Rattus norvegicus: one gene and its partner. Each later gene encodes a partner of the first gene's protein in a complex. Links are inferred from orthologs where the notes say so. Each region holds a gene or a part of one and is shown in the gene's direction. Other genes may lie near its edges. The genes, in order: Bach1 and Fbxo22.

Region 1 (3,812 bases):
AAGTCTGCAAGTGTGTGGAGTTTCTAAGCGTACACAATATCGAGGAATCCTGCTTTCAGTTTCTCAAGTTTAAGTTTTTGGACTCCACCTCAGAGCAGCAGGGATGTGCAAGAAAAAAGTGCTTCTCCTCACACTGTCAGAAAGCAGATTTTAAATTTTCATTTTCAGAACAGAAAGATCTAGAAATTGATGAAGCAGATGAATTCTTTGAAAAGAAAAGTGCTCAGACTTCTCATTGTGACTCCCAAAGATGTCAGGGCAATGTAAGAGCATCCCCCCATCTCCAAGACAGTGTCGGTCCGACGTGCCAGTCCATGTGCGTGGACAAGGACGGAGCCCTGGCACTGCCATCTTTATGCCCCAAATATAGAAAGTTCCAGAAAGCATTTGGAACCGACAAGATCCGAACTCTTGAATCCGGCGTCAGAGATGTTCATGCTGCCTCTGTCCATCCAAAGGAGACATCTGAACTTGAGTGTTTAGGGGGAGCGCAGGGCTGTGCAGATTTACAAGTGATCTTAAAATGTGAAGGGATGAAGCCAGCCATGGAGAGGGAAGACACAAAGTGCAAAGACCCCGCCCCTCAGTGTCCTGCAGAGCAGGCTGAAGTGACTGCTTTGTCCCAGGATTCTGCTGGACCTCACGGGCTCTATTCCCTGTCGGTCCTACACACATACGAGCAGTCAGGCGATGTGGGCTTTCCTGGGCTGCAGAGTAAAACAGTGAAAACAGAAAAGCCTCTGTTGGGTCCAGATGCCCAGGACGAGAAGCCATTGGAAAATCAGGAATTATACCTGAAGTCTAACATGGGACCCAAAGAAGACAGCAGCAGCCTTGCGTCCGAGGATCGGAGTAGTGTGGAGCGAGAGGTGGCAGAGCACCTGGCCAAAGGCTTCTGGAGTGACATTTGCAGCACGGACTCGCCTTGCCAAATGCAGTTGTCATCCGCTGTGGCCAAAGATGGCTCAGAACAGGGCTACTCTCAAAGGCGATCTGAGTGTCCCTGGTTGGGTATCAGGATCAGCGAGAGCCCGGAGCCAGGCCAGCGGACTTTCACAACTCTCAGTTCCGTCAACTGCCCTTTTATTAGTACTCTGAGTTCTGAAGGCTGCTCAAGCAACTTGGAAATTGGAAACTATGATTACGTCGCAGAGCCTCAGCAGGAGCCTTGCCCGTATGCTTGTGTGATCAGTTTGGGAGATGACTCGGAGACCGACACGGAAGGCGACAGCGAGTCCTGTTCTGCCAGGGAGCAGGACTGTGAGGTGAGTGGGAGGGAGGGACAGACGGACTGTGTGACGAGTTCCAGAGCGGTGAGACGGGCTGTGTGCATGCATCGCACATTGCTGTGCGTATTAATCATGGAGACCTCAACACAGGCTTGAGTACCTTGTAATCACATGTCCCAGTAGGGAGAAGGGGCAGCAGGTCTTTCCCCAATGGTAACTGTTAAACAAGAGCATCCCTTAGTCTGTGGTACCTGTAGCCCCCGGGTTGACAAACCTGAGACCAGTCTGGGATGTGGGCCATGGTTGGCTGTGAATAGCTGCAGGATTGTGGCCTGTAGGGAAAGCTTTCTCAGAATTGATTTTCATAGCTATTGAGCTTATGTATTATTTTGTTTTGTTTTTCTTTAGCCATGTTAAGTATTTGTTTAATGAGTATCCTAATAATTTAGCATGAGTTACATGTAGCTACTGACATATTAACCGTGTCAAGCTTGGTCTGCGTGTGCGCGTTCAGTGTATAGAAGTTTGTACGTACTGCTTGCTTTCTGTGAGAAGTGATTCAGTGATAGAAAGTAGAGGTCCGTGCACTAGAAATAAGGATTCTTTTGTTTTTAAAAGTCAGTTTTCTCTTTACACTGGAAGTTTTCACTTTGTTTTTATAACTACTTTTCAGCCATACTCTTTTATCTTTTTATGAAACCTGTGATAACACGAGGCCCGTCTATGAAGTGTCCCGCATGGCACTTTTAGCTCTGCTCATTGTACCTGCGTGGTGTATCTCTATAACTTGTTTTTGTCATTGAGACTCACTGGACACCGATGCCCCTCCCCTGCCCCATCTCCCAGAGCCTGACCCACCACTCTTCTGTCGCTGTTGGCTTTCCTGTTTTAGTTATCGCCTGTAATAGGGAAAGCAATGGAGGTTCATTCTGTGGAGTTCGGTTGATTTTGCTTGCTGTAATGCTCTTCAGACCGCAGCTCGTCTTTCCATAAGGCTGACCACATTTCCTCTGTCCACTCCCCTTTGTGTGGGGCTCAGACGGTCTCTCTGCCTGGGCTGCTGTCAGTGTGAGCACAGCAGTGCGTGTAGAAAGGCAGACGCCACGCCACTTTGAGGTCTGAATTCAGTTCGTTTGGACAGGTACCTGGGGGTAGGAGTACTAACTACCTTCAGTCTTCCTGAGAACTTGATGCTGGTTTTCATGGCATCGGCACTGCTTCCTGCCACCCGTGTATCAGGACCCATTCCCCCATGTTCTGTTCTTCATCACCGTCTTTTCCTTCGCAGCAATTGGATGGATTAGTCAGAGGAGGCTGCCTTTCCTGGGAGGAGATGGATTTAAGGCCCTGGGTTCAGTCACTGGACCACCAAAACACACAGACCAAAAACTATTCTAGGAAAAAATGTTCCTAATTTGTTCTAATACTTTCTCCATTGGCAAGTGAGATATAGCTTTTTAAATAAGTCATATGAAACTAAATTTTTGACAGAAAAGAAATTTCTTAAAGTGCTATAGACATGATTAGCATACTTCACACCAGTATAGTGTAGTGTCTTTGCTATGTGGTAATACTCAAAGACAAGATGGAATTCATTTGGGGAAATGAAGAACACATATTAAAAATACTTTAGGCAGAAACTTAAAGAAGTTGTTAACATACTAACTACTAAAATATTAACATACAGTAGTAAACTTGTAGATGTATTACTCTTTGGCTGGTGTGTCTGGTTTGCCGCAGTGTTTGACTTTTGAATGCTCTCCCGGGCCAGGAGTGTCAGGTGGGCTGTTATTGTTAGTTCTTATCGGGGTAGATTATGTAGGAATGGAAGAACAGTCTTTTAGGGATTTATTTGACTTAGGTGTGTGGGTGTGTCCCTGTGTGCTTGTATGTGTGGTGGTGTCCACAAAGAGCAGAGGTGTTGGGCCCCTGGAGCTGGGGTCACAGTCATTTGTGAAATGCCTAACATGGGTGTTAGACATAGACCTCAACTCTTCTGCAGGGCAGTAGCGCACCACACCCCTGAACCGTTCCTCTGACCCAAGGTCTGTGTGATTTGTAATGTGCTAACGTCTCTGAAAATGAAATGTGTGTCTCCCCGTGCACACGTTAGCTCATGTGCAGGGCCTGTCTTCACTGCAGTAGCCCCTAATGTTTATTTCACATTCTAGGTGAAACTGCCTTTCAATGCTCAACGAATAATTTCGCTCTCACGAAATGATTTCCAGTCCTTGTTGAAAATGCACAAACTGACCCCAGAGCAGCTGGACTGTATCCATGACATCCGCAGGAGGAGCAAGAACAGGATCGCTGCCCAGCGCTGTCGCAAGAGGAAGCTCGACTGCATCCAGAACCTTGAGTCAGAAATTGAGAAGCTGGTGAGTGAGTGGGTGGGTGGCTCCAGGTTGTTAAATCCCAGACATTTCTGTTTGTAGAATAAAATAGTTACTTAGGTTCCAAGGTAAGAGTCAGAGTTCAAATACCTCTTAAGAGGAATCAGGGCATGTTCAGGAAGATTAGAAGATTAAAAGTACGGTCTCTGTGGATTCTTTTGATTGTATGTGCATTCTACATTTTTAGCAT
Region 2 (3,812 bases), on another chromosome or scaffold:
CTTATTTCTTGCCTTGGGTTGATGTGGGGTCGCATGGATTGGTGAAATATTTATAGCTGTGAGTACATTGACATTTCCCATCATCTAAAACAACAGCACTGGCCATCCTTGCCGGGGTGTGACTTTGCACTTAAAATCTCTCTCGGGTGATTGAGGGTCATAGTTCAGATCCCAAGGCTGCTTAAGGGCCAAGTGTAATCTCTGTCTTCTCTCAGCCAATCGCCAGGAGGGAAAATGTCCTCCTACCTCCCCAGATTAGGAAAGACCTGCAGCCAGTCCAGTCTGGTCAGCTCAGCCCCTCTTGTTTCTTGCGGGTAGGAGCGACTGAGAGGGACAGGTTTGTGGGCCTTACCTGCAGGCTTGTTTCTCCGCACGTTGCCAGCATGGCACGTTTGCCTTCGGTATTTGTATTGTTTCCTGTTGATGTAGTGATGGTACAGTGGTTAGGACACACGGATTAGGATTCCAGCTGTATCACTTAGGACTTACTTTGGACAGTTTACCGACATCCATGAGGCTTCAGTTTCTTCGTCGGTAAAATTGGAAGCTGACCCCAGTATCTCTGGAGGACTGTGAAGATGCAGTGATGTAACATATCCTTGGCATTTAGAACTAACCATGCAGCAAGAAGGTGTTAGTCCGCTATTGCTATTTTCTGGAGCCTAAACAGCCTTGCAGGTGGCTCGGCTGGTGAAATGCCTGCTACACAAGCATGAAGACCCTTGCCACCCTTGTCCCCACACAAGTGTCCTGAAGGATTTTGTTTGTATTTCCGAGTCTTGCGCAGTGAAACACAAAGGGTTCCAAGTGTTTGCAGCTGAGTAGGGGCTGTAGCTGCTCACACACTCATAAAGCAATAGCCGTGGCAATGGTTTTCTTCCAAGGTTTGAATTGGCATTAAGTGGCCGGTAGCCTTTTTATCATTGCTGGTTATGGTGGATGCTCATGTTGGGTTGTAGCTCGTGCCTCACATCTTAGTCTGTCCTTTGCATCCACTGTGGCTTCTCCAGACACAGTGAGTTCCTCCTGTTTGAGTTTTCTGTTACAGGAGTGGGGGCAGGAAAGAAAGGATCAGCCGTGGCTAGCAGGCCTGTGCTCCCTGGCGAGTCAGTGGCAGTTGCAGCTTTCCCTTAGTTGCTGCCCTGTCCTGAAGTAGCTTTGACTTTGTGCTACTTTAAGTCCTCATGATCTTGTTAGGGGCAAATATTAAATACCATTTCAATGCTCCAGCCAGAGTGTGGCTTCTGCTGTTTGCTGGACCCTCTCCAAGCTGGTTGTGGTGATCTAAATAAGAATGGCCCCCATAGCTTCCTGAAATGCTGGGTCTCCATGGAGAGGACCTGTTTGAAAGGATTACAGAGGATTACAAGGTGTGGCCTTGTTGGAGCAAGTTTGTCCTTGGGGATGGGCTTTTACATTTCACAAGCCCATACGAGCCCCAGTCCCCGAGCCCCAGTCCCCGTCTGTTCCTGTGGGTCTGGGTGTAGCTCCCAGCTGCCTCTCCAGCTCCTGCCTGTCGGCCACCATGCTCCCATCCCTGATGAAGACAGGCTAAGCCTTGGAAACTGAACAAGCCCCCAGTTAAATGTCTCCTTTTATGAAAGTTGCTTTGGTCATAGTGTCACTCCACAGCAGTATAACAGTGACTAAGGATGGTCTTTGAGGCTGGTAGTTTCTTTGTTGTTTCCTGACAACCCCTCCCAGAAATCTTCTGACTTGTGTGGCTAGGTTTGCCTGTCAGTGTCATGGTGCCTGTCCTCTTTTTTGTATTTTAGCTCTCACACAATATAAATAAATGTGGTTTTGAGGTTCATTTATGTTACAGTTCTCAGCAATTCCTTTAAAATGTGTTTGTGTGGGTGCCTGTGAGAGTGTGTGTCTGTCTGTCTGTCTGCATGAAGAGATCAGAAGCTGTCAAGTATCTTTCTCAGTTCTTTGATGCAGGGCCTCCCACTGACCTTGGGCTCACTGTTCAAGCTAGGCTTCCTCCATTGTCTGACCTTTGCTTGCTTGCGGTTAGGTGTGTGGGGGGGGGGCTTCCAGACTCTGGTCTTCACGCCTATATAGCAGACACTTTACCAGACTGAGCCATGTCCCAGCCCTTCGTTTAGGCATTTTGAGTCATTCTGTGATAAAAGGGACGAGATTTATTTTCTCATTCTGCTTTTCATAGACTGGTTTTCTGCTCCTAGGTTATCATGAACAAGGATGTTACTTTTGTGTAAGTTATAAGTTTCCTTGGAACTTAAGAAGTGAACTTATTGGTTTTTAGCACTGATACATATTTAACTCAAAAAGAAACTGCTAGTTTTCCAAATTTCTACCATGCCATACTCAGCGACAGGGTCTGAGGTTGCAGTTGCTCTGTGTCCCTGGTACTCGGGTCACGGCCTCTGAGTAACAGCCAGCGTAGGTGTGAGGATGACTCTGATGACCAGCTGCGCTGAGTACCTCTGTGTGCTTACTAGGTACTTGTTTGTGGACCTGTGACGAGGCTGGCTCAGTCTGCTGTAGTTTTAATTCAGACCATCCTGCATCTTCTCACAGGGATAGACTGTTAGGATTCCCTCCTCGCCTTTATTGGAGTAGCTCGTTTGCTGTTGCAATAAAATACTTGGCAAACACAATCTGGGTTGAACTTGCTTAGCTCACAGTTCAAGGGTGCATCCTGGTAGGGAGTCATGTGAGAGGCTTGAGAAAGCCGATCACACTGTCCTTACTCACGGAGCCCACCCAGCGTGACTGCTCCAGCTTGGCTGCAGGACTCCAGGCTCTGGGATGGTGCTGCCCAAGTTCAAGGTCTGACTTAACCTAATCTAGATCCTTCACACACTGCCCAGAGCGATGGTGGCTGTAAATCCTGTCGGGTTAACTAACCAGACACCACCACAAGCCTTATCGTAAACTCACATTTTTCTTTCATGTTTTAAGTTCACAGTATATCGTGTGGTTGTTTTCTTCTGTGTTTTTCTTTGAATATTTCCTACCCCGATTTGAGTTTAGAAACTTAACACTTAAAAAGGATTTATGTGTTTGACCTTTGGCCTGCATGTGTATCCGGGCACCACATGCATGCCTGATGCTCATGGACACCAGAAGAGGGTGTCAGCTCTGGAGCTAGAGTTAGACTGAGAACTGGAACAAGGTCTTCTGAAGAGCAGCAGTTCCTTTCATCTGGACTCAGCGACTGCTCGATTTGGATGCTTTGGTTTGTAAAGCTTCCTTTCTGAACACACCTGAAAGAGTATGGCAGGCATTGCCACCCTGAAGTTGCCAGAGAGCTGTGCCTCTGGGAGCAGCTGTTTGCCAGCCTAAGCTGCAGTTAGGATGCGATGGGCTGATACCACGTCTGGTTTCTATGAGATGTCCTTATGAAACTCTTTTTCTCCCTAGTGACTCCAATGGGATCAGGTAGCAATCGGCCTCAGGAAATAGAAATTGGAGAATCTGGTTTTGCTTTATTATTCCCTCAAATTGAAGGAATAAAAATTCAACCCTTTCATTTTATTAAGGACCCCAAGAATTTAACTCTCGAAAGACATCAACTTACTGAAGTGGGTAAGTTATTGTTATTTACTAGTTGATTTACGTAGTTTGAGACAAGGTCTATATAGTTCTGGCTACCCTTGCTCTCAGAGATCCCCCTACGTCTGCCTCCTGAGTGCTGGGTTTAAAAGTGCATGCTGTACACCCCACCCGCATTGTTATTTACTCTTACTTGCTCATTTTGTTGATTAACTTGCTCTGTTTTAGTTCTGGTCAGCTAGAAGCTTCTAGGCTACTGTTGACAAGGCTGTTCATGATTGGTAGAA

What was found.
Region 2: the proteins of Bach1 (region 1) and Fbxo22 are in contact, whole or in part, in a cryo-EM structure (PDB 8S7D), measured with the Homo sapiens proteins. The link is inferred for Rattus norvegicus from reciprocal best matches to the Homo sapiens genes BACH1 and FBXO22. Residues at the interface, in NP_001177.1 of Homo sapiens: Ser7, Val8, Phe9, Ala10, Tyr11, Glu12, Ser13, Ser14, Val15; in NP_671717.1 of Homo sapiens: Asp366, Gly371, Asn372, Phe373, Ile374, Leu375, Arg376, Lys377, Cys378.

Annotation. Positions count from the first base shown.
Region 1 is NC_086029.1:40,446,147-40,449,958, forward strand, and holds part of Bach1 (transcription regulator protein BACH1), read left to right. Parts: coding exon 1-1,265; intron 1,266-3,400; coding exon 3,401-3,607; intron 3,608-3,812. UniProt on the Homo sapiens protein: Transcriptional regulator that acts as a repressor or activator, depending on the context. Binds to NF-E2 DNA binding sites. Plays important roles in coordinating transcription activation and repression by MAFK.
Region 2 is NC_086026.1:64,482,355-64,486,166, forward strand, and holds part of Fbxo22 (F-box only protein 22), read left to right. Parts: intron 1-1,204; exon of another isoform or gene 1,205-1,340; intron 1,341-3,393; coding exon 3,394-3,558; intron 3,559-3,812. UniProt on the Homo sapiens protein: Substrate-recognition component of the SCF (SKP1-CUL1-F-box protein)-type E3 ubiquitin ligase complex that is implicated in the control of various cellular processes such as cell cycle control, transcriptional regulation, DNA damage repair, and apoptosis.